Struthio camelus: one gene and its partner. The protein of the gene in region 2 interacts with the protein of the main gene of each other region in a pairwise test. Links are inferred from orthologs where the notes say so. Each region holds a gene or a part of one and is shown on either strand. Other genes may lie near its edges.

The links.
Region 1: the proteins of SPG21 (region 2) and ribose-phosphate pyrophosphokinase 1 interact in binary tests that used the Homo sapiens proteins (3 or more experiments, as listed by UniProt). The two-hybrid records come from large-scale screens. The link is inferred for Struthio camelus from reciprocal best matches to the Homo sapiens genes SPG21 and PRPS1.

The regions. Positions count from the first base shown.
Region 1 is NC_090952.1:26,177,962-26,189,287, reverse strand, and holds the start of ribose-phosphate pyrophosphokinase 1, read left to right. Parts: upstream 1-6,518; 5' UTR 6,519-6,905; coding exon 6,906-7,027; intron 7,028-9,464; coding exon 9,465-9,648; intron 9,649-9,987; coding exon 9,988-10,086; intron 10,087-11,326. UniProt on the Homo sapiens protein: Catalyzes the synthesis of phosphoribosylpyrophosphate (PRPP) that is essential for nucleotide synthesis.
Region 2 is NC_090953.1:4,122,037-4,132,247, reverse strand, and holds the start of SPG21 (maspardin), read right to left. Parts: upstream 5,134-10,211; 5' UTR 3,555-5,133; intron 2,839-3,554; exon of another isoform or gene 2,658-2,838; intron 1,043-2,657; exon of another isoform or gene 956-1,042; intron 811-955; exon of another isoform or gene 689-810; intron 556-688; exon of another isoform or gene 1-555. Other genes in the region: CLPX (ATP-dependent Clp protease ATP-binding subunit clpX-like, mitochondrial), read left to right, coding at 5,514-5,583, 10,099-10,211. UniProt on the Homo sapiens protein: May play a role as a negative regulatory factor in CD4-dependent T-cell activation.

The DNA.
Region 1 (11,326 bases), on a different chromosome or scaffold from region 2:
TCGTTCCCATCTCGTCGTCCTGCAGCTCGACGCCGTCGTCCCCCCGGCCGGCTGCAGCAAAGCATGCGGCGCCTTGGGGCTTCCCCAGCGGAAAGGTCCGCCGGGAGAGACAGCTCTCCCAGCTTATTTAGATTTCCCACCCTTATTCAGTGCACATGAAAGCAGACAGCGCACGTGATGGGAAAGCGCTTTCCAAAGGCTACGTAATTCCCTTTCGGTGCATTAGCAGCCAGCGAGGCGGCCGGTGACTGGGCACAAGTCTTCGAAGAGCTTTTAATTCTTACCCCCGTTTCTAACGGAGGCTTGAAAACAGCATTTATTTCCCGCAGTGTAGTCGTCTTCCTGACAGGTGGGGAACGCGCTCCGGTTTAGCTGTGTCCAGCGTTAAGTAACTGTGTTTGCGCTTACACCGCTGCCACCAAGCAGAATACGGGTGAGCCCCGTTCCTAAATACAGCTCGTCTCAAAGCAACGGCTTAAGGGACTATGGTTAAGGGACTTTTTTTTTCTCCTCAAAGGAAAGGAGAGGGTGTTGTAATGGACTCAGTGAAGATCTGGAAGCAAGACATTTCTTGTTTGATCCTCGTGGTTTTGATAGTAGCAGAGAGCGGGATTTATCTAAAAATAATCCCCGTGAAGAAAAGGATAGAGGCAGAGAAGCTGACGGAAAACAAGCAGCCACTGAAAATGCTTCCAGGGCTCACGGTTAGTGTTTCCACTGCGGCCACAGGAAAAAAAAAAACCCTCCGTTTTCAAAACTGTTAAGTGAGAGCACTGGAAAGTAAAAGTAAAATCCAGACCGGCCTAAGACTGGAGCTAGCCCCTAAGCCACAAAGGCAACGTTGTGAATTCACGCATCTAAAGGGCAAAAGAGTTGTGCTATCCATATCAAGTGCCACTCATTAACAGGACCGGTCTACCACAAGCCATTGCCATCACAAGGCAAACAGAAAGAAGAAAGCTCTCAGCAACAGGCTTTCTGCATGAAAACAGGTCCTTGATTAAGCGACTGGCGGTAACTGAGTGGCAATTGTATGTAGGAATGTGCCAAGAGACCAAAAAAAGCTACTTGTCTTGACATCACTATGCAGTTTGATAGAGTTAATGTGCTACTTAAAACTTCCTGGAAAATATATTCTCAGGCCATGCAACACAAAGGCATTTCTGATTAAATGAACCTCCGTAGAATCAGATAAATAAAAAGGGAGGTTTGCCATTCATGCACTTGCAGGTACATGAATGTCCTGAGGTGGACATTAATTTATTTCTTAATTCCCAAATCATGAGAGAGCCCAGCAGCTCAAACTACAGGCTAGTTCTTTCCAGTACCCAAATGAACTAGCGCTTGCCCACACGACACGATTCGGGACAATTAAATCGAATTGCTTCGCCTGGGAGCACACAATGCAATTTATCCCAGTGGGCTTTCAAAAGGAAGCAAGCCAAACTGAATGAGATGCTTCGACTCCCAGTGTCCGCGCAGGAGTTAAGGTACCAGCTCAGTCCAGCTCCCGGCCAACCTCGAGTTAATTCGACAGACAACCTGGATTAACAGGTTTTCAACCACACAGTCTCTCCCTTCATCCGGAACCAGAGAAACATCTCCCTCTTCAAAGCTGCCTCTCCTTGTCCCTACTCATATGGTAAGTGGAAATGCAAGTTGTCAATAGGCAAGCAGTTGCTGGGGAAAGCTCATGAGCAAGCTTTTTGGATGTGTTTGACTCAGACGTTGTTGCATATTGATTAAAAGCTTTTCTTCAATAAAACCCCTGAGATGATCCTGCCGTAAGAGCTTCACTAACGATAGCAATAAATCATTAAGGCAGGTGGACTTTTGTCCTTATCCTCAAAGCGTGGTCTAACCGTGGCAAAGACGTTCTGGAAACGAAAATGCTGAGGGGCACTGGAGACTTTTCCTGTATTGCCTTTGTGCCCATCGGCTAAGGCAGCAGGGCGATGCCTCTGAGAGCGGCCACGGCGCGCAGCCCCCCGGCCCCTGCGGCTTTGCGCTTCGCCTTGGAGGGAAAGGTTTCGCCCACCAGCGGCTCCGCAGCATCTGGCCTCCTGGAGAGCAATATCTGCTGCTTCATGGAGGCTCCTGCAAGGATGTTTGACCTCTAGCTTGAGAAGGGGGAAAAAAGAAGTCTTTCATACTGCCCATGAAACTTTGCCTGGCCCCGGCTTACAGGATTAACGACCTAATTTTATCTTTTCTTAAATTTTTCCCTCCTGCAAATCCCGCCTCCACGATCCCAGGAGGACACAGATAGAAACGCTACTTCCCAAATGCTGCGCAGGGGAAGCTCTGAGACAGAGCCTGTAAATGAGAAGCTTAATTTGCACATTTTAATACACTTTCTGCTGCCTTCATCCACAGCTTCGCAGAGGCTGGTTCGTGGCTAGGTTGGGAAGGGACAGGGTATTGGTTTCAGGTTGGAACACAGACACAGAAAACACCACTTCTGCATCCAAGAGCAAAAGTAGACTTCAAACTAGGACACGTGATTCAGAAGCGGAAGCAAATATTTCAGGGACTAGCAGTAAGTTATCCAGCCCCCAAATTCTTCAGACTGCAATGGCAGTCACAAACCTGCTGTAAGCCTGTGTTTTGTGGGGAGGAGAGGCCTTGAAGTTATTTTTAGAGCATATAGCTTTAATCACTGGAAAATACGTATGGAACGAACAGCTGTTACCAGACATCCCAACTCGCAAATAACACCAACTATCGTTGGAGAAAAAATTGCTGTCAACTGGAAAAGGACCTCATCAGAAGCATGAAATGAAAGTCGGATTTTTTTTTTTTTAGGTGTCTTTCGGGCACAAGTAGAGGAGTCACTAAAACGGCTTGTTTGTGGCACCAGAGTACACGAGTTTAGCGGAGATGTGGAAGTAAAGAGCTGACAGCAGCAGAGCCGGGGTGCTGCGGCCGGGCGCAGAGCACCCGGACGTCGCTGACATCCCTTTCCCAGCAGCATCCCGTCTTTGTCCCTCAGCTCTGACGCGGGCTTAAATCATTTTCACGCGTGAGAAAAATCATTTTCACGCGTGAGAAAGGCTAATTCAGACTGAACGGTCCGGTCAGGCTTTGCTGCAGCTGGGACCAACCCGGACAAGGACGAATGAAACATTTACAGGTGCGTGGCTACTAGAAATGTGGGAGATGCCCCCATCTGACAGAGAAGCTTTTCCTGTATTATTAAAATGAGAAATGTTTAGAAAGAAATTGGAAATAGAAGGCTGCGTTCTTCCTTCCCCGTTCTTTGCCGCTACTGTGTGTCACAGCCTTTTACAAGCCGCTGCGCTGACACCCGGATACTGGAAATCACCATCGATACGATATGCCATTTCCGCAGCCGCTCTAAGCATGGGAATTAGTATCTGTTTTAGTCCAGCTGGTTTCCAAGTTTAACGAAACCTTGCAAAGGGCTGGAGGAAACCCCCTCAAAGTAGAACTGTACAATCATTCGTTTATTAGTCTTTTGGGGTAGCAACAGTAGCCTTTGGGGCCAGAATATTTGCAGCAAGAGGTAATGTGGCCATGCTAAATGAGCTATAGGTTATTTCTTCTGTGAAATGCTCGCGAATTCAAAGTAAAGACTTATCAGTGCTACATCAGTTGCAGAAGTTTGTTATCTATGAACCAGCTAAGTAAAACTTGTAAGAATTACGTGATCACATGCATATCTTGAAGAAGCCGTTTGTGGCTTAGTTTTTATTTTGTATAATTAAAACCCTTTAACCACACTGTTTATTTTAGCAAAAGCTAAATTAATATATGTAATTTAATCACATACAGACTGAAAGCTCACAGGAGATTAATTACCGAATTAGGTACAAAAATACCTGATTATACATACAAAACAAACCCTCAGAAATGAAATTAAACAGCCTGTTAAAATAATGCCATTTGGGCTTTGACATTGAGCCAAAAGACAGAAAAAAAAACACCTCTGTATTTCAGTACAGAAAATCCACCACTACTATAATTTTTCCAAACTCAAGACGTGGCCAAAGGCTATTTGCATCAGAAAAAATAACTAGCAGCATGCATGGCTGAAAGTTTTGAGGAGAAGAACAAAAAACATTGATTCGGGGGTATTCTTGTCTGGGGGGTTTTGCAGTGAGCCTCCCTCCGCACGTGAGGAGTCGGTGCCCCTTCCCACATAAAGCCACCGTTGGCCCTTAGCCGTGGGAGCGGGTCGTGATCCGGCCGAAGGAGAAGCGAGCGAGCGCGCAGCCTGTTTCGAGGCAAAGAGGAAAGAAAAACAGTTATTAATACGTCTGCCGCCGAGGAAGGATAAATTGGCAAGGCAAAAAATAAAATAAAATAAAATAAGGCGCATCTCGAAGATGATAAGCATCATCCTTCCGGCATTAAAAGCGTGCTGGGACTCGACTCCCCCCTCTCCGGCTGCGCTGGCTCCCTGCGGCGCGGGCACGGCAGGGGCAGCGCCGCGCGGAGCGGACGCCGGCACAGCGGCCCGGCTGGGTACCAGCTGTATGTCACGCTGAGGGGCTGCAGCTCGGCGGAGTGACACCGGTACAGCGTGACACGGGGCCCAGCAGCCTGGCAAGGTGACGTCGGTACAGCATGAACAGAGGGGCACAGCAGCCCGGTGAGGTGATGTCAGTACAGTGTGACACGGGGGCCCAGCAGCCTGGCGAGGTGACACCGGTACAGCATTACAGAGCGGCACAGCAGCCTGGCGAGGTGACACCAGTACAGTGTTACAGGGCGGCACAGCAGCCTGGTGAGGAGACACCAGTACAGTGTTACAGGGCGGCACAGCAGCCTGGCGAGGTGACACCAGTACAGTGTTACAGGGCGGCACAGCAGCCTGGCGAGGTGACACCAGTACAGTGTTACAGGGTGGCAGAGCAGCCTGGTGAGGAGACACCAGTACAGTGTTACAGGGCGGCACAGCAGCCTGGCGAGGTGACACCAGTACAGTGTTACAGGGCGGCACAGCAGCCTGGTGAGGAGACACCAGTACAGTGTTACAGGGTGGCAGAGCAGCCTGGTGAGGAGACACCAGTACAGTGTTACAGGGTGGCAGAGCAGCCTGGTGAGGAGACACCAGTACAGTGTTACAGGGCGGCAGAGCAGCCTGGTGAGGAGACACCAGTACACTGTTACAGGGCGGCAGAGCAGCCTGGTGAGGAGACACCAGTACACTGTTACAGGGCGGCAGAGCAGCCTGGTGAGGAGACACCAGTACAGTGTTACAGGGCGGTACAGCAGCCTGGTGAGGTGACACCAGTACAGTGTTACAGGGCGGCACAGCAGCCTGGTGAGGAGACACCAGTACACTGTTACAGGGCGGCAGAGCAGCCTGGCGAGGTGACACCAGTACAGTGTTACAGGGCGGCACAGCAGCCTGGTGAGGTGACACCAGTACAGTGTTACAGGGCGGCACAGCAGCCTGGTGAGGAGACACCAGTACAGTGTTACAGGGCGGCAGAGCAGCCTGGTGAGGTGACACCAGTACAGTGTTACAGGGCGGCAGAGCAGCCTGGTGAGGAGACACCAGTACAGTGTTACAGGGTGGCAGAGCAGCCTGGTGAGGTGACACCAGTACAGTGTTACAGGGCGGCAGAGCAGCCTGGTGAGGAGACACCAGTACAGTGTTACAGGGCGGTACAGCAGCCTGGTGAGGTGACACCAGTACAGTGTTACAGGGTGGCACAGCAGCCTGGTGTGGTGATGCTGGTACAGCATTACAGGGGGGCCCAGCGGCCCAGCAAGGTGACACCGGTACAGTATGACACGGGGACACAGCAACCTGGCAAGGTGGTGCCAGTACAACATGACATGGAGGCACAGCAGCCTGGTGAGGTGACGCCACTACAGTGTGACACCTGGGCACAGCAGCCCAGCAAGGCAACGCCGGTACAGCGTGGCACAGGGCACAGCAGCCCAGCAGGGTGATGCCAGTACCGCGTGACACAAGGCACAGTGGCCTGACAAGGTGATGCCAGTACAGCGCTACATGAGGGCACAGCCGCCCGGCAGGGTGACGCCAGTACAGCGTCATGCCGCGGCCCGGCGGCCGTAGCCCGGGCGACGGAGGAACACGGCAGGAGGCCCGGCGGCCCCGAGGCGCCGCAGCCCGGGGGGCCGGCGGGGCCCCAGCCGCCGGCGGGGCCATGCTGAGGTAAGCGGGCCCTGCGCGTGTGTGAGGCGGCTCCTCGGCTGGGCCCGGCGGCGTCAGAGGGGGCCGTTTTCTGCCCCCGCCGCCCGCTCTGCGGGGCACCGCGGCGGGCAGGGACACCCATCATGGCGGCCGGGGCGGGGGTTGGGGGGGGGGGGCTCTTGCTAATCACGCGGCCAACGGAACTCCCCCCCTCCCCTCTCCGAGGCCACGTGAGGCAGCGCCGTCGGCCCGCTCCGGCTGCGGCCGCTGCCGCTCTGACCAATAGCGGACCAGGCGGCCAGGGGCCGGCCAATCGCCCACCTCCTCCTGCCCCTCGTCCCACCCCCCGTAGCGGATAAGGAGCGCGCCCTGGGCCGCGGGCGTTACGCGCGGCCGTGCGCGCTCACGTCCCTCCTCCCTCCGCCCCTCCCCCCCGGGGGCTGCTGTTTAGGCGAAGGGCGGGGCGGGAGGGAGACCCTCCGCGCCATTGGGACGCTCGGCCGGGCCCCGCCCCCAGGCCCCGAGGAGCCAATGGGAGGCGCGAAAAGGCGTGGCCACGGGGGCGGGGAGTCTATAAAGGGGGCGCGCGGCTGGCGGGAAGAGGTAAGATGGCGGTGTAGGTGCGAGTTGGCGTGTCTTGCGCTTCCCCCCGCCCCTCCACAGGCGCCTGGGTTTCCCCCGCCGGAGGAAGCGGCTGGATCCCAACTCTCAAGCCGGCCACGGTGTGAGGCGGGAGGAGGAGGCCAAAGCCTCCGCTGCCGCCTGCGCCGTCATGCCTAACATCAAGATCTTCAGCGGGAGCTCGCACCAGGACCTGTCTCAGAAGATCGCCGACCGCCTCGGCCTGGAGCTCGGCAAGGTGGTGACCAAGAAGTTCAGCAACCAGGAGACATGGTGAGGGAGCGGAGCGGGAGGGAGGAAGGGGGGGGCGGAGCCGAGCACTACAACTCCCAGCAGGCCGCGCGGCGCCGCCGCGGTGGAGCCCGCGCCAGCGCCGCGCGGGGGCTGCCGGGAGTTGTAGTGCGGGGAGCTCGCCGCCGTGGCGGAGCGGGGCCTCCCGGGGCGGGGGCAGCTGCCGGGCCCGGCAGGGCGGCGGCGGGCGGAGCGGCCCTTATTGGGCTTCCCCTCGGCGGGGAGCCCCGGGGGAGCGGGGTCCCGCGTGGGAGAGGCGGTAGACCCCGCGGCGGGGCGGCGGCGGGGGAGCCGCGCTGGGCCGCGCTGCCGCTCTCATCGCCTTTAGCGGCCTCGGCCGACGCGGGCGTGTGGCGCCGTCGTGCGTGCCGCGCCGCCCGGGAAGCCAGCGCCGGGGCTGGACGCGGCCCCGGGATTGCGCTGCCTCTGCCCTTATCAGCCTTTTCCATGGTGGGGCCGAGCCGCAGGCTGCGGTGACTTGCGGCTGGGCCGCTCAGCCCGCGGGGTGTGGCCGGTGCCGTCAGGCCGCTCGGGAGAGCATCGGGACCCTGAAGCGCTGGGTGACATCGCTGCGCGGTGCAGGAGGCTGCAGTGATGCCTCGGGTGTATTCCCCCTGACGTTTACTTCGTTTTCTCTGTGTGTTCTTCATAGATCTTTGCTGCTGTCATGCTCAGGAGAGGCTGAAAAGTTAGTCAGGGGTCTTAGAGCCTGGTCTAGCAAAGTACAGTATGCATGGCTTTTTTTCCCTCAGCATAACCTGCAGAACCTTACGTGATTGTGCCAACCCACCACTTTATTCTGGAGACAGATCGTTTTTTTTTTTTTTCTCCTGAGAATTCAGGATAGACACGTGAGGCAGAATGTCACAGAGGTTTCCATTGCATGGGTATCTGCTGTAATTGAAAACCTGACAGGTACTACAAAGCGTTGTAGAGGAAATCAGTAAAAAGAGTCTGTCTGTGACCTACAGCTGTTGCTGTTGCACTGTTCTCATGGCTCTTACCTGTCCAGTTGGCTAGTCAGGGTCTTAATGTCAGCAGGTAGCGTGACTGTTAAAGACCTGACACATCCTATGTACCTTAATAACCCGATGGCAAATATTTACCTGAAGAAGCAAGATTGTTAAAACAATCAGTCAGCTGACTTGATGTTTTTGTGCTGTAAGGCTCAGAGAGCTCTCATTAAGCTCTGACCGTTAGTAGGTACAGTTGATGACAATTGTAGGCTGACAACTGTTAAGTCAGACAGTTACCCTACTGGGAAGTCCTCGTGCTCTCTGAAATATTGCTCGAGGGATTGGTGTATGCTGAAAGCCAGTGTATAAGACAGACAGCAAAATGACTGAACCAGCAGCTTGCTGGTGCAGCTTAAGCAGCAGGACTGTGAATGCGTAGTGGTCATCAAAAACATGTTAAGGAAGGATGGGAAGTGAGATGACAGAATGAAATACTAGTATTAAAAATCTACCCTAAGGGTGTATAAAAATGGAGCCATTAGGAGCGTGTTGGGTGATTGTCCCCTTGCTCCTAGAGATAGCTCAACGAGATGGCAGCAGTCTACAGAGCAGGTGAACATCTCCAGGGCAAGAAGAGAGAACCTATGGAGGAACTCTGTCCTCTGTAGGCTGACTTTTGGTTACTTCCAAATCTGTGGCATGCTTCTCTAAATTGAAATGCTGGAAGTAGGAGTAGTTAATTTTTTCCTACAAAAGGCCTTTTGCAGCGCTCATCTCTGTGAAGCCTCAAACCTTAGACTACTGCTTTCTTGTCAACTCTGCTTTTGGTGCAGGTGCCTCAGCACATGCACTGAAGCTTGCTGGCAGTTTGCTGCTGGCAAACAGGACCTTTGGCTTGTATTCACAGTCCCTTCATCAGCAGGGATTAGTGTGCATTACATCCAGAAGGAAATTAACCCCCAAAGCCTTTCCAAAATAAAATGCTGGAGGGCCTCTCTGTCCAAGGCTGTCGATAGCTGTTATGATTCTAAATTTAATAATCTGCTGCAGTGTAGCTTCTGTTAGAAGTTTGGCTCAGCTTTCTCTGCTGTCTGGCCATCATGCTTGCTTCGTTTATACACTGCTTTTAACTGAGGTGGGCATAAATTTCTGATGTGGGGCAAACAAGGACTCTTCTAGGATGCGTGCACGCTCAGATTGTGTTGAGATTGAAAGTACAGGTTGAGTGTTTTTAGCCTTGCTGACTGAACCATTAACTCTGATCAGTGAGCAATGAAAAATAGTCACTGAGCAAATAGGCAGCAGTGTTCCTGCTCAACACTCGTGATTATATTGCCTTGTCACCCACAGAGCCTTGGGACTGCAGTCCCATGAGTTGCAGCCTTGGTTGGTCTGCAGGCATATGTAATGGCTGTGTTTAATTTGTGTTTGGACACAACTCTCCTTTCTCCATCTGTTCCCAGTGTGGAAATAGGTGAGAGCGTACGTGGGGAAGATGTCTACATTGTGCAGAGTGGCTGTGGTGAAATCAATGACAATCTGATGGAGCTCCTTATCATGATAAATGCCTGTAAGATTGCCTCAGCCAGCAGAGTGACAGCTGTCATACCCTGCTTTCCCTATGCTCGTCAGGACAAAAAGGACAAGGTAAGGATTTCAGTAAGGGTTTCTGTTGGGAAGATGAATGCATGTCTCAAAAGTCCTGGCTGCTGGTTAGGGATTAGATGAAGCTGAATATGTAGAAGAAGAGATGATAGGACTGACTTTAACTTCTTAAACCTCAGGGCATTGGACTGGAAAATCGTCTTTTCATTAAAATCTAGTTCTTGAAAATATACCAAGCTGTAATCACCCATTGATGAAAAGATGCAATGTTAATGAGCGCTCCTTTTAGTAACTGCCTGTGAATCATTGCCTAGAAGCAGAAGGCTGGCATCTTGATGAGGGAGTTGAACTTGTCTTAAACACTGTTTTTTCTTGTACTAGAGTCGAGCCCCGATCTCTGCCAAGCTGGTTGCGAACATGCTGTCTGTGGCAGGTGCAGATCACATAATCACCATGGACCTGCATGCCTCTCAGATTCAGGTAGGAGCTGAAATCGGGAGAGCGAGTACTCATCTGCTCACATCTGAGCCTGTTTACTGCCTTGGAGGCTTGCCAATGATCAGCTTTTTATTGGACACAGCAACAGTTGGGACTTGGGAGCACAGGACTGGAAAGGACTTGTAGGATCATCAGAAGAGGATGGGGGGGGATGGATAATGGGTTCTTCTGTAAATAAAATTATAGCTGTTCTTGACTGGGCTAAGTGATGACTGCTTAAATGAATATTGGCTTAGTAAATGTTTCATGCAGCTTTATCACCTTGCAGTGACGCTGTGTGTTCTTAACTCGTCCTTTGAGGAATTTGAGACAGAATGGTTTGATAGTGTAGACTGTTCTTAAATAATTTGCTAGTTTAGACTGTTCTTAAACACTGAGCAGAATTTTGTGATACTGAACTGTCAGGATGTGAGCAGTGCACTGAGGCAATGGCTTCTTGTTGGTTTGGCACAGTGGCTCCCAACACTGCTGCCCCCAGGTTAGCGCCTCCCCGAGATGTCCTAGTACAGCTGCTTGTGCGGGTGCAGTTGTCCAGAGCAGTGATCTGATAGCTTGCTGCTGACAAGACGAGCAATCCTGCTGGAGTCCATTCGCTTCCAACATGGCCCTTCAGTTGGCTTTGGTCCTCTCCCAAGCTCCCAGCTGACTGAGCTAGTTACACTGGCAGAAAATTATTCACAGCTTTTTGCTGGATTAGTGAACTGAACAGTCTCACTGAGAAACTGAAATGTTCACTAGGCCTGCGTAAGAGAAGCAGCAAGAGTGTGTACCTCCCCAGAGAGGAGGGGCAGCAAGCTGTTGAGTTGTTAGTCTTGTCTAGCTCCATCCTGAGCAAGCTCTCAGACCGGGAAACCAGCTCAGTGAAACTGAGAGGATTGGCAGAGGTGGGTTTATCTGTTGTACTGCTGTAAATGCTTTGAATCTAGAGTAGTTGGACATCTACTGTCTGAGTGAAGTAGACGGACTTGCTGTCATGGTAACAGTTGAAAATGCAGTCATTCACACTTCAGTATAATTTGTTCCAGTGTAATTTGTCCAGAAGTACTGTCTCAAATGGAAGAACTCTGGGGGCACAGCTGAGAAAATTCGCAGAAGGATCATGAAGCAGAGGAGCAGAGCCCAAGGGGGTGGGAAGAATACCTTCCTTAAGGTATTCTTGAGGTCATGATGTGTGCCATAGGGTTGAGCTTTCAACAGCAGCAATGGTGAGATTTCAGTTGAA
Region 2 (10,211 bases):
TCTTTGAATATTATATTATAGCAGGGTCAAGAAGCACAAGTCATGATCAGGGCCTCATTACAGGAGGCACTGCATGAACACAGATACGCAACAGAAAGACTCGACGCTAACAGTTCTGGTTGTCACAGGGGGTCCTAGTCCAACCAGGATCACCTCTCCTCTTTTGCTGTCTCATTCTTTCAGCACCGTTAAGCTATTTTGGGGGCTGGCACTTAACTTTGTTAACAGATGAATGGGGACCTTCTAGCTGTAAGCCACTTTGTGAAAGCGAACAGTTACCCACCAGGGACTGGACCAATTTCCCCCAGCTCCTTTCTTGTAAAGGAGCATCAGAGGCAGCAGAACTGTTCCCCCTTTTAAAGCAAGGGTAAACTATTTTTCTTAAAATATTAGAAAAATATGGACTTTTTTGCTTGAGTCAGTTGTCCTGTCACTGAAATCATTTTCCTGGGCACAGAAGCACAACACATTCACACACAAATACCTGTGTCAACAATGACTGTGTGTTTTTCCAGCTACAGAAAAGCTAAACAATTAACTTGAACCAGGAAATCCACCAACAAAGGTAGCTCAAATCACCAAGAACCTGATGCTGTTCATAACCAAGCCACTTGGGTTTCATTTTTCAAGAAAAACGAAACTAAAGGACTCTATATTCTTAAAGAGAATTCCTCTGAAGTAGTATTACCTATGAATGTACATCCTATTAGCTGCACTCCAAAGCAGTTGATAATATTCCTGTGAGTTATTCACGCTACACTAGTAACGCTTTCCATTCATTACTGATCTAGAAAGATTTTGATCCTGCCACTAGAGAGGAAAAACATGCCAGAGCGGATTAGAAGCGCGGCGACTTGCTGCTCTCCCCAGCGCTGGGTCGGCGCGAGCCAGGCCGCCGCTCGGCTGCTCTCTGCGACACTGGCCATGCGGCGCCCGCTCCCATGGGCCAAGAGACCTGAATCAGCAGCAGCAGCACCGAGCGCCTCGTCGCGACGGGACGCGAACGCCGGGAGAGGCAGGGGAGCTGCTGCGGCTGCGAGTACTTCACGAACGCCAGGCGAAGACAGCGGGGGAGAACATGGAGTTACGGACCCTCGGGACACAGCGGCAGGCACCTTCCTCCCCTCTCGCTCACCGCTCCCCGCACTGTGCTGCTCCCGGGTGCCCCAATACTGACCCCGGCCCGCCCTTCCCCGGAGCACTGGGTCACCCTGCCCTGCTTTGGGAAAGCGGGGCACAAACCCGCTCAGCATCCTGCATCCGCTGCAGCGCAGGCTGAGGCAGCCCCCACCCTGCCCGAGCCCCCCCAGAAGATGAACCCCCAGGGAAGGGCCTGGGGCTCCTTGCAGGGCTGAGCCGCAGGGGCCACGAAGCCCCAGCCCGGGGGCAGCGCTGCCCCCAGCCCCTCAGACCTCCTCCAGCCCAGAGGAGTGCCACCCTGGAGCGCCCGCAGCCCAGTCCCTCTGAACGTGGGATGATGCCGCCCTGGAGGCCCCCCGGCCTACAGTAACTCTGTCTCAGGGTCCCCCTGGTCCCTCAAGACTCCCCTGAGCTAAAGCCCCCCCTCTCAGCCCAACCCCCCCCCCCAAGCCTCCCAGCCCCTCAAGACCCCTCTCAGCCCCATTCCCCCTCCCCCAAGCCTCCAAGGACCCCCCTCTGCCATCACCCCTCCCAGAGCCTCCCTGGCCCCTCAAGGCCCTCCTTAGTCATCACCCCTGGAGCTCCCCCATTGCCCCAGCACTTCCCTTAGCCAACAGCCCCTGAGCCCCCTGCAGGACCCTCCAGTCCAACTCTCCCCCCCCCCCCAGCCCAACATCCCCCTCCCCCAGAGCCCCCCCCCAACCTCTCAGGGCCCTCCTCAGCCATACATCCCCCTCAGAGACCCCCACAGCCAAACACCTCCCCCTGAGGGCCCCTTCCAGCCTGATAGCCTCCCCCAGAGCCCCACCAGCCCCTTGGGGCCCCCCTCAGTCCAACAGTCCCTCCAAAGCTCCCCTAGCCCCTCAGCCATACACCCCCCCCCAGCTGCTCAGGCCCCCCAGATCCCCTCAGTGCATCCCCACCAGAGCCCAACAGCCCTCCCGGAGCCCCTCAGGGGCCCCCCTCAGCCCAACAGCCCTCCTGGAGCCCCTCCAGCCCCTCAGGAACCCCCCCCAGAGCCCCCCTCGACCCAACAGCCCACCCCAGAGCCCCCCTCAGAGACCCCCCCCTAAGCCCGACAGCCCACTCGGATCCCCCCTCAGCCCCCCAGGGACCCGCCCCTCAGCCCCTTGGGGAGCCCCCCTCAGCCCCACTCCCCCCCCCCAAGAGTCCCCCTCAGCCCCTTGGGGAGCCCCCCTCAGCCCCACTCCCCCCCCCCAAGAGTCCCCCTCAGCCCCTTGGGGAGCCCCTCTCAGCCCCACTCCCCCCCCCAAGAGTCCCCCACAGCCCCTTAGGGACCCCCCTCAGCCCCTTCCCGGAGCCCCTCTCAGCACCTTAGGGACCCCCCCCCTCAGCCCCACACCCCCCCCGAGCCCCTCTCAGCCCTTCGAGCCCCCCTCAGCCCCACACTCCCCCCCCCAGAGCTCCCTCAGCCCCCCCGACACCACCTCGAGCCCCCCCCGGTCCCTCACAGCCCACTCAGCCCCGAGCAGGGAGGCTCCGAAGAGAGGGACAGCCTGGCTCCCGCGACGACGAGCCCCCACCTTCACGGCCCGCTGCGCCCTTACCGGCTCCGCGGGACCCCCGGTACCGGCGGGGAGGGGGGGGGGGGGTGCCGGGGCCTGGCTCTCCCGCTCCGCCTCCCCCGGCGCACCCCAGCGGCGGCGCCCGCCGCTACTTCCGGGTGCGGCGTCACGCGCCACGTGACGGCGGGGAGGCGCAAGGGCGGGGCGGAAGACGGCCAGCTGCCATAGCTGCCGAGGCGGAAGAAGCGGGCCGAGGCGCCATTGTTATCGAGGCAGAAGGGAGGGTCACGTGATCCCTCCTGCGGGGGGCCGGTGGGGGAAGCCGCCATGGCCGTCGAGGGAGCCGCCGCGTCCGCTCCCCCGCCCCGGCCCCGCCGTTGTGCCGCTCCGCCCTGCTTGGCAGAGGGCTACGTGCCAAGGGTTGCTGCCATCCAGTGGAGGCGATTTAATTTAATTTGACTTATTTTTTTAAATATATGTGAGAAATCCCATTGATTTAAGTAAAAGTACCAGTGAGTGAAAAGGTCTGTTTTCAACTCAGGGTCTTACTTTAACCGAGCCTGTTTTACCCAGCTCCCTGGTGCGGTTGTTAACGGGGTGCTCGTTCCTCCAATGCAAAACCCGGACCTTTGGGTCGGCTGGGCCCGTTCAAACAAAACGTGTTTTGGAACAGCTAAATTCAAGGTTATGGCCGAGACGGGGCCGTGACCCTCGGTGAGCCCTCGGGGCCCTGGCGGGGAGCAACCCCGTGGAGGCAGCTGCGGCTGAAGCCAGGGCGACCCTGGGTGAAAAAAAGATTTTTTTTGTTGTTTTTTTTTTTTTTAGGTAAAAGGGGGAAAACGTCCAGGGGACCAGCTCTCACGCCTGCCGTGGGAGGGGGCGCTTTACCTTCGGCGTTGCCGTTTGGCCAAAAGACGTCGGGTTCAAATAATCGGTGGAAGGGAGTTGCGTGCGGTTGCGTCAGGTGGCGCGACCGCGCTGCCTGCCGCTCGCGGCAAAGAGGCTCCTGCAGCTAAAGCTGAGGAAATCGTCAGTTCGACTCCTGTTTCATCAGCAGCGTTTTACCGGTTTGTTTTCAGCACGCCGTTCCCGTTTGAGAGGAAGCTCCGGGGCTGACTGAGATAACCAGCCTGCTGCTGTCGGCCACCCGAACGCACGAGGCAGCCGGTGACAAACCTTGGTTCACAGCAGCACGCAAACCCCTGTCCAAGACGACGCTGTTGCTCTCTCCAGGCTTTCGTAATTTGTGATTGCAGGATAAATAACTTTTATCGATGCCTTTCAGTACGTCCTTCCAATCTGCTATTCCTCTCTGATTCTCTCCAAAAAAAAAAAAAAAGTTCCCGAAAGGAATCGGTGGTGGATTGAATACAGATTAAAGTGGGGTTGGCGGTTGCCTGGCAGTAGGTGGTGCTGGCTGCAGGTGGTGCTGTTAAACCTGTACTTCGCAAGGATTAAAATCCATCCAGACCTTGGCAGAAATGAAAAATGGCATTCGATATTCATACTGTTACACGCAGGCAAGCAGTACAGAGTGTAATCTCCGCTGTTAGCGTGGTCTAATGGCGTTCGCTGTGCGGCAGCTCAGGTTTGTAGGCGAGACCATCAGGTAATGCATTCTCATCTCTGAGCTGTTACTCAGAAAGGCAGCTGGGATCAATGAGCTGCACTTGATCAGTGTGTGGCAGATGAAAGCTGAAGGAGGGCGGAAAGACAGAAACACCCACAGGTCCCTGCCAGCGGCAGGCGCGTTGTCTAAAGGATGCGTTTTCGTTGCTTGGCTTCTACGCGTTTTTGTGATCGCTGATCTGACTGGAGATCACCCCAGGACAGGAGGCTTCGTTTTCATCTTTCTGCCAAAGTTGTTCTAATTTGCCTCGTGTTTTCCGTTGCTGTTTCAAGTTTGCTGCTTGTGAAAGGCTGTTTTTATTATTTTGGAGGTCGATGGGAAGTGTTTCCCGCATACTACCTTGTGTTTAAAATCTGGAAGCAGATAATAAATGTTTCACGTTTGAGAAGTTCCCCTCCTCCCAGCAGACGCGTGTTCAGTCCCCGCCGGGCGGGTTTTCACCGGGCTTTGCGTCTCCCAAATCCTGCCTCGGGAGTTGCACGTGCGGAGGAGTCGGCCTTCGCTTTGAACGTTTCCCTGGAGCAACGCAGGGCGAGAGCTGCGCAGCGAGTGCGGGGGCTTGCTGAGGTCTCCGATTAATTTTTGTTCTCCTGATGAGCCGTACCGGTCTACGAGCGCTTTAGGAATTAAGGATAACGCGGCCTGGAGCGTGGCCTTTATGTCCTCCTACGGGGGAGTCCGAGGCTATACAGATATGGGAATAACGCTGCGTAGAAACGAACGCACGTCACAGCTGCTGGGAAGAAAATCTGGAATTTTGGAGTTAGAGGCAGGAATCTCCTGACGTTTGTGTGCGGGAGGCGAGGCCGCCGCCGCGCCCCGCGGCCGCACGCCTGGACTACACTTCCCGTGATGCACTTTGCCGGCGCATGCTCAGAGCTCCCTGACCCGCGGGACTGCATCTCCCAGGAGGCAGCGCGCGGCGGCTGGGGCGGTGGCGGGCGAGGCGCCGCGCGCGCTGCCTGCTGGGAGCGGTAGTCGGCGAAGGGATGGGAGGGGCGCGGTGAAGCCAGCCCGGCCCTGGCGTCAGTGTAGGCGGTGCCGGGCGGTGGAGGAGGAGGGCAGGGGAGGGGGTGTTTACGGCGGGGGCGCGCGCGCGCGCGCAGTGCCGCCGCCGCTACCGAGGCCTAGTCGGCGGCGCCAGGCGCGGTGCGGGGGGGGGCGGGGGGGGGAGCGGGCCGGGCCGGGCCCGTTGCCGCCGCCGCCGCCGCCGCGCCATGTCCGCCTGCCACAGCTGCGCCGCGGCCGCGCGCCTCCTGGGCTCCACGCTGCCCTCCGCGCGCAGAGGTAACCGCCCTCCGCGCGGGCCTGGCGGCCGTTGGGCCGGGGGAGGGGGAGGAGGGGGGGTGTCGCCTTCCCGCCGCCTCCCTGAGGGGAGGCCGCGTCGCTGTCACCGCCGCGGGGCCTGCGGCCGCCGCTCCCCCCAGCGCCGGGCCGGGCCGCCGTGAGGGCCCCCGCCGCCCTCCCCTCCTGCTTGCGTTTGTTTTATTTTCCCAGCCGCGGGTGGCGAAGGTGGGGGTCCCGCGGCTTGGACGCCTTTACCCCGCTGGCGTTCGCCGGGGTGGCGAAAAGAGGGTTTCGCGGAAAGGGGGCGATTTGCAGCGCTGATTGCGCAATGCTGCTTGTGCCTTTAAATGCGCTTTATTAACCGACTGGTACAAATCCTGTGCTTCTTGCAGCTTGGGGTGTTCCTCGTGAGGGCTCGTGCTCAGCTAGCGAAACATAACTGTTTTCCGAGTTATTAAGAAAGTGGCGCGGGGCAAAATAGTTACTGGAGGCTGCAGTGGAGGGGGAATGTTACTTTTTCTTGGTTTTGCGTCTTTTCGGGATGTTCTTGTCCGTCTTAAGTGCGAGATACTCTATGCTGCTTTGACTGAAAGGCAAACAGTCCTCAGACTGTGCTGAAAATCTCTGCTGCTGCCACATTTCCAGCATTTCTTTTTTTTTTTTTGAAAAATGATACTCTCAGCCATAGCTGAATGAGTCAGAGAAGACTCTTTAACTTCGTGAGGTAAGTTAACTCATTGCAGTTGTGTTCGCAGCCACATCTCCAGCATGACCCGTGCTGACAGGGTTAAGCCAGTACTTCCAACTCCAGCCTGCCTGGCCTCGTGCAAACCCACTGAAACAATAAACTTTAAAACAGATAACGTTCTGGATTTGCTTCAGAATTGTTATTTTTATAAAGATAACAATCAATATTTTTCTTTTGTCAAAACTGGCACGTAAAAGGGCAAATGAGACTAAAACGCAGGTATAGAATAGTAAAATTATTTATGCATCAACTTTCTATGAAAGTTTTTTAAAATCTTATTTTGGTGGTTGTCACTGTATCTGCTGTGCCAGGTAGTTAAGTTTGGTATTACTCTGAGGTTGACTGTAGTTAGTACAAACTTGAGAGTATGCAGGGTGTATGGATTGGCCTACTAGATAGGGTGTTTTCTGGGACAGAGATGAGACTTTTGTTGTCAGTCTCCCTGTGAGTACCTTAGGTGGTAGGCTCTTTAAAAATATTTGAGGACTTGACCCAAAAGTTGGTATTTCTTATGGTATTCATCTGTGAACTAAAAAATAATAAAGTGTAAAGGAGTCTCCAACTATTTCATAACCTGCTCCTCTGAACACCCCAGAGAGGTGCTGTTGCTGCTGTCAATATTCATATGTTTGGTGCTCGCTCTTTAGATTTACTGTTTTCATTTGTTTGTGTTTGGGAAAAATTTGCTTTCCATTAAAAAATAAAACAAAAAAAGACCTAACCGTCAGTGGTATATCTGAGAGTATTGCTGTGCCAGCCAGTTGTTACATGTTTGAATGTTTATCAGAGTATCTGTGGAAATCGCTAGGCGTTGGACTGGAATGTTGATTGTTTTTGACAATTTGTTTCTATGCTTGTTTGTGTTTATGGAAGTAAGTAGTTGTGATAACTTTATTCCTATTTCATTATTTAATTGTACAGTGACGTTTTGTCAAAAATATCATTCAGACCTGTAGATGGGCTAAACATGGAAAGTCTTGTCCCTGTGCGTCAAGCTGATAGGAAAAAAATTATGTTACTGTTATGTTTAGCCTATTTACAGCCTTCACAATTCAGTGTGACTGGCAAGGTAAGTTTAACATTATACCCTAATGGCCGACCAACTAAGACCATCGTGAGAGAAAGAGGAGCATGTGTTTTTTAAAGAAAGTTATCATGCTCAAATTGTTCTTTCAACAGTAGGCTCCTACCAGGCTCGCAGTGGGTGTAATGGTGCTGATTGGGCAACATCTGCTGCTAACACCGAAGCTGCAGTCCCACAGCTGCGATGTCTCTGGTCGTAGATTGGCATAGCAGGAAATGTGGCACGTATCAGCTCAGCGCTTGACACTTTGTGTATTGCTTCATAGTTTATTCAGTATAGTTTAATGTGTCTTTTCTGTGTCACAATGGCACTCTGATTTAAAACTGATGATCTTTAGTCCTTTTGCGGTGTTTGGTGGTAAAATGTTTGACCAGTCTCTGCATTGGTATTTGGGCCTTTCTCCCTAGGCAGTTCTCTGGGGTGAGAAGCTATTGCAGGAGAGTTGTATGCAGCTAGGTTTTTTGGTCGTCGAGGGAGGAGGGGGTCTTTTGGTTTTGTGTGTGTTTTGGAGGGGTTTCTTGTTTTGTTTTATTAATAGCTGTTAGGTGATAAACGCTCAGCCCAGTTTATTCTCTACTGAAAGGTACACTTAGCACTCTTGATTTTCAGAGTTCTCTGTGCATATTCAGTCAAAAGGACACAACTGACTTAAACTCTCTTCTGTTGCTGTAACTAATCCCTATTCTGCTTGTGAAAGTGAACCAATATTTTTCTATTTAACTGAGGGTATTTAGCAATTTGTATATATTTTCATAGTTTTGTCCCGTGGAGCGTGAGGTGTTTTTCTGTGTTGCAGTGACACGCAGCAGATCTTTAGTCCTCCTTCAGTGTTTTACAGACATAAATAACGCTATTATAATTTTAATAAATTGTATTTTTAGTGCTAAGAATATCTTAAAATCACCTTTAATTTCAAATATCTTAGGTAGCATATATTTTGATAAAACAAATTTCATTTGATTCAGTGTTCTTGGTTGTAAGTTTGTGGAGGTCTACAGAAGTTTTCCCTGTAAAATTAGGCTGGCCCTTAATGCTTTTTTTCCCTATATTTTTCTATTCTTGCATTATAGTAATATAATACAGTATAATTAAGAGGAACTTTAAGTCTCCCTCTTTTCTTTAAGATTCCAAGTCTTAATTGTAATTCAAAAGAGTTTCAGTTAAGTTATTAAAAAATTTTTTTTATTATTTTTACAAATGTTTTACAGAGCATTGGCTTAGCTCTTTGGAGAATTGTCTGCTTAGCCTTCAGATTATTTGGATAACAAAGTTGCATATACGTTTTATTAATGTAGGGTTATGATAAAAAACATTAATTTGAAAATATGTTAAAATTGATGGTGCTTAATAAATGATGAATTGAGTTAAATCAATGTTATGAGGAGTTAGTTCTGGTCATTTTATAGCTTTCTCAGAGCAAATGGACTGTACTTCATTTTCCATTCATATAGATTGCATTTTATTTTAGAAAACATTTTCATCTTCTGTTAACAAAAAAAAAAAGAGAGAATTTTTTTTTTTTTAATAGAGTAGAAAACGTGAATTAGGGTTAAGGTTATGATGTTGCTATATAGCTTTTCCCATTGATAACAGTCACAGAATTATTACCAGATATGTAGAGGAATTGCCTAGTTTAAGCAGAAGAGAAATTTAAGATCTGGATTCCAGATGTTTATTTCTTTGTGTTGAAAGATTCTGAAATCATGGGCATGAAAATGATAAAGGTTGGTTTGTGTCATGCCTAGTCATGAAATATAACCTTACAAGTTGTTGCAAAAGGAGGAAAGGATCATTCAGTTCCCCAATGAATTTTTTTCATGTTGGAGTTAAGCTATTTCAACAAAATTAAGATTGTATTAAATTAATCTGTCTGTCTATAAAAGGTCAGCATATGCCAAATGAAAAATCCAAATCTGCATATGTGGTCCACGGTCTCCGAGACACTTCTATGAAAATGTTTGTATAATGAGGAGACACTTTGAAAGTCTGTCTTTTTTACTTTTCAAATATGTGCTAGAGGCTATTGTGTTCTGAGGACCAGCTTCATGAATGGGATGTGGTTTGTTTGTGATGCAATGGAACTCTGAACTGCCTGAAGTTAGAAGACAAGGGATACTTCTGGGTCATTTGTAGATTATCCAAGCAATTGTTAATGTGGTAAACATTAAGGTGATTACATGCACTTATTTTTGAATAACTGAAATTTGATTATTCAAAGTTGAATTCTGTTGCTGAAACCTTTGATTTCCATCTAATCTAAATCAATTCTGGGATTTGATGTCGTTAGGATTAGAAACAGATTATTTTTAATCAACACATCCAAAATTGCTTATTTAAGGTATACATATATATTACATTTTGAACAGATTACACCTATGGAAAACACTGTTTTTGCTTCAGTGGTGTTCCTAAAGAGTTGAATGAAAGAATATAAAACAGTATATTGGAGCTGTGACTATATTTTGCTCGTGACTATATTTTGAATGCATGTATCTTGGTCGAATGCTAACGAGGTAGTTCTGTTATTTGACTGTAGTGTCAGCAAAAATTTCACTGCGGTGTATTAGTTCATGTAATTAGCTTTTTATTTTCATATCTGCGACTTCTTACTCGGCGAACGTGTTTGGTCAGTGGAAAGAAAAACTTATGTCCCATAATTTTAAAGGATTTCTTTTGCTTTCAGGTATTACTTGTGGTCGTACACGCATCCCGGTTTTAGGAAAACTTGGAACTTTTGAAACTTGTTCCCTAAGAAGAATTCCTCTTAGAAACTTTTCAGAAACACCAGCATATTTT